Ovis aries: one gene and its partner. The protein of the gene in region 2 interacts with the protein of the main gene of each other region in a pairwise test. Links are inferred from orthologs where the notes say so. Each region holds a gene or a part of one and is shown on either strand. Other genes may lie near its edges.

What was found.
Region 1: the proteins of CDK5RAP3 (region 2) and TSPYL4 interact in binary tests that used the Homo sapiens proteins (3 or more experiments, as listed by UniProt). The two-hybrid records come from large-scale screens. The link is inferred for Ovis aries from reciprocal best matches to the Homo sapiens genes CDK5RAP3 and TSPYL4.

What each region holds. Positions count from the first base shown.
Region 1 is NC_056061.1:21,674,314-21,678,433, reverse strand, and holds the start of TSPYL4 (testis-specific Y-encoded-like protein 4), read right to left. Parts: upstream 2,987-4,120; 5' UTR 2,881-2,986; coding exon 1,639-2,880; 3' UTR 1-1,638.
Region 2 is NC_056064.1:38,227,654-38,231,253, forward strand, and holds the start of CDK5RAP3 (CDK5 regulatory subunit-associated protein 3), read right to left. Parts: upstream 2,524-3,600; 5' UTR 2,503-2,523; coding exon 2,497-2,502; intron 2,274-2,496; coding exon 2,228-2,273; intron 1,856-2,227; exon of another isoform or gene 1,814-1,855; coding exon of another isoform or gene 1,792-1,813; intron 518-1,791; coding exon 386-517; intron 107-385; coding exon 6-106; intron 1-5. UniProt on the Homo sapiens protein: Substrate adapter of E3 ligase complexes mediating ufmylation, the covalent attachment of the ubiquitin-like modifier UFM1 to substrate proteins, and which is involved in various processes, such as ribosome recycling and reticulophagy (also called ER-phagy).

The DNA of each region.
Region 1 (4,120 bases), on a different chromosome or scaffold from region 2:
AATTCAGGGGAAAAAACAATACAGAGAACAGGAGTGACCCTCGAAATGCTGCCTTGGTTATTTCTAAGTGATACGAGGCCCCTCAAAAAGCTTCCAAGCTTAGAAAGGTGGAGTGAAACCAAATTCTTATTACCTTGGATCACAGCCTGCTCTGGGTCTGTCGTGAAGCCCTTCTGTGATCTCCCCTCAGCTTCTTAAGCTAAGGCTCAAAAAAACACACAGGTTTTGGGTAATGGATAAGGAAGAGTACGGGGCTGTCAAACTGGGCCCCAACGAACAATGTCCATAAGCAGGCAATTCACCCTACAGAGTTCCCTTTGAAATGTTTAGACTTTACTAAAGGAAGTGGGGTGGACACATGAGGGCAGAAGAGGGCAGTAAGAAAGCTGGAGTCCAGTGCACGGTATCTTTCTGGACACAAAGGGAAAGCAAAGTAAAAAGCCTGCTTTGCCAGTTTGTTTTCTCAGCTGTAACTGTTTATGAGAAGGAGGATGAGGAAGAGAAAAGGAGGAAAGCAGGAAAGTGAGAGAGAGAAAGATACATAACAGGCCCTACAGACCAGAAATACCTCTTCCTTGGTGTCCCCATCTTGGCAACTTTGTCATGTTTAGAATGGGTGCAGAAGGGGGACATCTAGATTAATGGTGGTTTGTTGGCTAGAGCTCAAAAAGGCTAACTGCTGGAAAGGACCTCCCACCAGCTTTGCTTTAGACACTGTGATACTATGACTGCCCATCCTGCCTGACAGCCAAGCAGTTTCCAGATAACCATTTGGCAAGCAGGGGGTGGGGGTCGAGCGGGGGATGGTTCCTGTGGGCTATCCAGGAGCTTAAGTCTCCAGATAGTTCCTAAAGAGGCAGGGAATGGTGCCTGTGCAAATCTCATCCAGAAAGCTGAGAGCAGGTTTGGGTGGGCCGTATCACAGGGCTTCATACTCACCACCACCTGGTCACAATGCAGAGTGACCAAAGGCATAAGATCAACATAACACAGAACACTTCTCATTTGTTACCTCATTCATGCCTAGTAACCACCCACCAGTCAGCTGCTTATTCTGCAAAATAACCAGCAGGGTAGATGGCATGGACCCAGGAAGACAGTTGAAAACCAGTTACTGGTAGCCTGGAATGTTCAGTTTAGGTGATGGCTGGCATCATCTCTATCAGCTTCATCTTGCAGCAGTGAAACTCAAAGATTTGGCCACAGAGTACATGGGTATCAGGACAGTCAGCACAAAGTATGAAGCCCAGCTAAGTAGCTGCAAAAGTATATCAAGCTTTTTCGTGGTAGATAACCGCTTTAAAAACTGGGAGAAGGCTACAGTCAGGGCCCAGAGCATGCAAAAGAAGGCAGTGGGTATCTACAGTATTATGTGCTTGGCACAGAAGCAGTGGAAGGCCATGCACTTGGAACAGTGGAACAGGATGCAGAAGAGCAGGAAGGCCCAGAAGAAGGAGAGCATTGGCATATAAGCAACCATCTTGCCACTGAGTTTTGAGAATTTAGAAGGATCAAAGGACAAAATAATCCAGTGTGAAGAAAGTACAGGGAGGACAGCATGCTGTTGGCTAAGCACGGGTCTGAGAGGAGGTGGGTGGTAGGGGAACTTGTGCAGGAGCTTCTCTCATAGGGCAGGAGTTAGCCGGACTGGAACCTGAAGGTCCTGGAACTCTCCACTGGCTGCCTTGCTGGGTCTCGAAATCCTCTGCGGGGCCCATCACCCATCAGGTAGTATTGGAGGGGATTGGGCCACAGTTCTGCTTTGATAATCTCGGCAATCCTGTCGAATTCTAAGAGGCTGTGGTCTGAGAACCAGTTGAAGAAACTGGGAATAGTGTTGCCTTCCCGGTTCCTGTGGATATGGGACTGGGGGTCTTGGCCCCTGTGCCAGCGGATTGGAGTGGAAAGAGACACCACCCGGCCAGAGGATCTGCGCTCATACTCCTTGACAAGCCCCTCGTTTCGGAAGTAGGGGTTGCTCTGAAAGATGAACTTGAATTTGCAGCCTGCTCTGGGGTGTTTAAGCTCCTCCACTTCCAAATTGATCATGTACCTCATCATGTCTTCATCTTGGCCACTGATCATAGGTGACAGCTGCGGGTGGTTGCGAAAGGCAGTGACCCAGAAACCTGGGATATTCTGGATAATGAAACTTCTGCGCTGCATATGCAGCCTCCGCATACGGCCAAACTTGCGCTCCAGCTGAAGGAAAGCTCTGTCAGCCTGGGCATTTACATTTGACAGTTCCTGATCGATGGCCTCCAGCGAATCCATGCAGTTATTGATCTTCGGGGCTCTGGCCCGGGTCTCCTCTTTCGCGCCTCCTACCACCTTTTTTTCCTTCTGCATAACCTTCTTTCCCTCTACCACCGCCTCTGTTACTCCCTCCTTTTCCCCTGCCGCAGAAACAGCGCACTTTTTCGTCATTTCCTTGGCCTTCGCTCTAGGCAACATCTGAGCCCCCAAGCTCCCTGCGCCACAGGCTTCTAGAGCCTTCTCGATTGCAGGGCTGCGTAGCTCTCTACGCTGACAGCCATTTTCCTGGCTATTGTCGGCTCCCACCGAGGTAGAGGCAGAGGCTGCTTCCAGGCCCTCCGTGGAAGCCGGAGCCTCTTTCTGGCCCGCTTTGGTCGCTACGCGGCCGCGACTCCCAGCAACTCGAATGCGGAGCGCAAGGCCACAGACCGCGGGGTCCTGGGCCGCGCCTCCCTCTGCGGCAGTCTCCAAGCCGCCCTCACCTGTGTCCGCCATCACCGAGGTCGCCTCGGTTTCCTCGCCCTGACACTGCTTGAGGTCCGGATGTCCCGGGGCATGGTCGGGAGTAGCGGGGCTGCAGGATTTAGCGATAGGGAAGCTGTCGCCCTCATCCAGGCCGCTCATTTTGGCAGAAGTCAGACCTGCAGGAGACCGACCGCGGTCCTCCGCAGCAGCAGCAGCAGCAGAAGCAGCAGCGATCCGCCCCTCGCACCACCCTTCTTTTCCACTCCGGAGGATGGCTGCTATGGCAACCTGTGACGTCTGGCGGTAGCGTCTTAAAATCGCGCGAGAGTTCGCTGAGCCTTCTGATTCTGCATGTCAGTTAAGTGTATTTGATTTTGTTTAAAAATATTATGAATTTTATTAGTCTGGAAGAGTTGGCTTACAGAAATGGACGTAGACAAACTCAAGCAAGTGAGAACTGTGTGTTAATGTGGATTTCTAAGATTGAATAAACTTCTAAGGTACCTAAACTGCTTTTTAAAAATACTTGAGATGATTTTTTAAAATTCGGAGCAGCTAAAAAGGAAAATTCCTCTCATGCTAAAAAAGACAAAATAAAAGATTATTCCAGTAGGCTTACACATTTCAAAGTTTATGTAGTTTGGCAAACATCTCTGAAGCAATTGGACAATATTTTCTCTGTAAGTAGCAAAATGTATTACTTAGAAGTGACCTACGCAGGTGTAAGAGAGCAAATTCAGCCTTTGCGCAATACTGGGAAAAACGTAATCAAAGGGGATTTTAATTGCTAAAATTTAACCTATTCACTTCAGTCAGTTCAGTTCAGTGACTCAGCCCTGTCCGACTCTTTGGGACCCCATGGACAGTAGCACGCCAGGCTTCCCTGTCCATCGCCAACTCCTAGAGCTTACTCAAACTCATATCCATCGAGCTGGTAATGCCATCCAACTATCTCATCCTCTGTCGTCCCCTTCTCCTCCTGCCCTCACCTTGCCCAGCATCAGGGTCTTTTCTGATGAGTCCATTCTTTTCATCAGTTGGCCAAAGTATTGGAGTTTCAGCTTCAGCATCAGTTCGTCCAATGACTGTTAGGACTGATTTCCTTTAGGATTGACTGATTCGATCTTCTTGCAGTCCAAGGGATTCTCAAGAGTCCTCACCACGACCACAGTTCAAAAGCATCAATTCTTCGGCACTCAGCTTTCTTTATGGTCCAACACTCACATCCGTAATGACTACTGGAAGAACCATAGCTTTGACTAGACGGACATTTGTCGGCAAAGTAATGTCTCTGCTTTTTAATATATTGTCTAACTTGGTCATAACTTTTCTTCCAAGGAGCAAGCATCTTTTAATTTCATGGCTGCAGTTACCATCTGCAGTGATTTTGGAGTCCAAA
Region 2 (3,600 bases):
CTTGCCTTCATTCGCTGTGAAGAGTACCGGCCGAAAATATTTTTTGTGGAGGCTTCAGTGCCTTTGAGAAGCTCCACAATTCTTAGGCAGTGGAAGTAGTGAATGTCTGGAAAGCAAAGAAAAACAAAGACTTTGGAAATAATAGTCTCTAACCCACCACTGCAGCCTCCGCATATGGCTGACTCATGTATATGCCAGTAACTTTAGAGGGCACAGCTCTCCCCTTCATCATTTTGTGTTGAAATAAACCAGCCTCTATACCCCAAATAAAAGCCTCTCTTTCTTTAGAGGTCAGTCCTATGACTAAAGAAAGAGGAACAGCTCAGCAGATTTATACCACCCCAAGAAAGACGGGGGTCCAGTAATGCAGCCCCGAAGCACTCACAGGATCCAGAGAGCAGCTGGGCGATCTCTTGGCTCTCTGGCATGTCCTGGATGGCGGCATTGATCTTCTCTCGGATGGTCAATACTAGACTCTGCCATTTCAGGTTGCAGTGCCTTCTATCTACCAGCCAGTCTATAGCAGAAACCCAAATCATAGCATTCCCATGGCCAAAACTGCATCACTGATTCAAGTGAAATATGCTAAGGCATTGGCTAAAAGTTGTACTCATATTGGTTAAGGTGTGGGGGTCACGGGAAGATGGGAATGAAGACAGGCTCAAAGGGATGCTTGGGGCTAAACAGATTCCAGCAACCTAACTTTATCCACAATGTGACTTTATAAAGTAACTGCCTCAACACAGGATAAAGGAAAGCTTTCAATTGGTCCTGACATCAAAGTGACACTTTGGACCACTCTAAATTCTCCATGATATTTTTGCTTCCATGGATAATTATATCTTTCTTACTGCCATTCAATTTCTACTTTCTCAGGGCTGGGATTAACCATGACAATGAAAAACACAAGTCGGTTACACCAAATACCAGATGAATGAACAACTGCAAAGCCCCTAAGGACTAAATAACACTGGTCTACTCTTATCAGCGAAGCACCATCCTGCACACATGGATACCAGTGTGACTGATCTCCTGGATTCTGGGCCAGATCTGTTTTCAGTTGAGGGTATAGGTGGATGAGAGCTATGTACATTTCCTCATAGGAGAGAGCTAAGACCTAGACTTTGTGGTCAGCTGGTCCTGGTTCTAATTACCAACTTTCTTGGGCAAGTCTCTCAACCTCTCTGTGCCTCAGTTTCTCTACATGTAAAATGGGCATGATAAATATACTGAGTACAAACGGTAGAACACTGAACATCATGCCTGGCGCATGGCAAGGGCTCAATGAATTGTAGTGGTCTTCATTTTCATAATGTTAAGCCCATAAAACAGCACTTGGTATAGAATAAACCCTCAATAAATGGTTGGGTTTTTACCAGTCCTTTTCAGGACCAATAACAAGCATATACATCAAGAGTGTACAGGTCCTGAAGAGCTGGGACAAATCCAAAATGAAGTTAAAGACGCTCCACTAAGTGGCCACCTTGCCCTTGTTAAGAAATCTGCTAACTGGTCAAATGCTGGGAGCCCACACTAGTTATCAGTTATATCCCCATTGCTGCACTCCACTAAAATCTCCAAAAACAAAAATTATGTAGATGTCACAGAAGTGGAAGCAAAGGGACGACACAGTCAAACAGATGTCATCTTAATGACACAACTGGCATCAAAACAATTAATTCAAAGACCATTTAAAAATCCAGGAGCTGTGCACTGCCCTAGAGGGGTCAGAGTGAAGAGGCCCTTCCCTGGCTCTGAACTAGAGAGGTGGTATATAGACGCGATACAGACAGCAGGGAGATGGTCTGGCCATTAAAAGGTTTTCTTTTCAACTGGACCTACGTGCCTTTTCCTCCTAAAGTCAAAGGAAAAAATAAAAAGGAAGAAAGTTTTTTTTTCCAGCGTAATACAATACTGGAACCTGACAGACTTAGGTTCTAACTTCAGATCTGCCATTCGGCAGCTGATCATCTTTAAGGCAAGCCTTCAACTCTCCTCTGTCCCTAAAATACATGACTGACAACATGTTATATACGTTTAAATAGAAAACACAGGTCAAGTATAGACTCTATGCATGGTTCCTTCCCGCTCCTTTTACTGAGGCAGGTCCAGCCACAGATGGGAGCACAGAACAGAGCGAGTGGTCGGCGGGTCCGCTGTTGGTGACAGAGGGCCAGGGGGCCAGGTCTCCCCTTGACAGCTAGGTGAGCGGGGGCGCCCCTCCTACCGAGTAGCTTGCTGGTCTGGATGTCGATGGGCACGTGCTGATGGTCCTGGCGGGAAACACGGCGGGGAAAGGTGCGTGAGTGCTGCGAGCTGACAAGCCGCTCGCGCGCTCACTTCATCGCCCCAACCGCCACCCTGTGGGGCCAGCACAACGGGCCGGGGAGGGCGCCCCCGGAGAGAGCCTGAGGAAGCATGTCAGGAAAGGACCGGCTGAACTCAGCCCAGGGGCCCCAGGGCAGCCCCCCATTTCCCCAGCTGCTGTTCCCCCACCTGCATCTTTCCTCCACTTCCGTTTCCGGCCTCCGACCGGGACACGCCCCGCCTACCACTAATCCAGGGCTGTTCTGGCTGAGCCTCGGGTTAGGCACAGATGGGTCTTCTCGGGCCACGTCACCGCCTTCCTCAGAGCCAATCGGGAAGCGCGCTCCATCCCAGGCCTCAAGCCCCACCCACGCCGGGGTTCCGAGTGGCTGAGCCCGGGAAGGGCGGGAGAAGAGGAGCCAGCCAATGGGAGACGCGAGGCGGGCTCAAGACCTGGCAGGAGCTGGGGCGCCCGGAAAGGGCTGCAGAGGCTGCAGAATCCCAGCAGGCGGCGCCCTGGAGCTGATCCCAGTCGCTCCCGGCCAGACAGGCGCGGAGCCCTCTGCGTAAAGATTAACGAGTCGGCCGACAGGGTCCTAGCGCCTACTGAGGAACCTAGAGGTCCTTGATGTTGTTTATTTATTTATTTTTTTAATGATGTCATTTTTTAATTTTGAACATAAGTGGGAAAAAATTTTGAATACAAGAGTAGAAATGCAATTCCAGAGGAAAACATTCCAGTGCATTGTGGTTCTTTGTGGGGTAGAAGATGGTGATAATGCTGCCCATAACTTGATGTTGTTTAGATACGCTCAGTCGTATCCGACTCTTTGCGACCCCGTGAATAGGAGCACTCCAGGCTTCCCTGTCGTAAACCATCCCCTGGAGTTTGCTCAGACTCATATCCATTGAGTCGGTGATGCCATCCAACCATCTCATCCTCTGTCGCCCCCTTCTCCTCCTGCCCCCAATATTTCCCAGCATCAAGGTCTTTTCCAATGAGTCAACTCTTCGCATCAGGTGGCCAAAGTATTGGAGCTTCAGCTTCAGCATCAGTCCTTCCAGTGAATAGTCAGGGTTGACTTCCTTTAGGATTGACTGGTTTGATCTCCTTGCAGTCCAAGAGACTCTCAAGAAGAGTCTTTTTAGAAACGCCCTACTTGCCTCGCTTTACCGTGGATCATGGTTTAAAAGTCTTTTTTGGCACATTACCTTCTCACTGAATTTATGTAATAGACAAGTGTTGAACACCTGCTACGTGTTATGTGATTAGGGCAGGGATGGGGAGGGAGG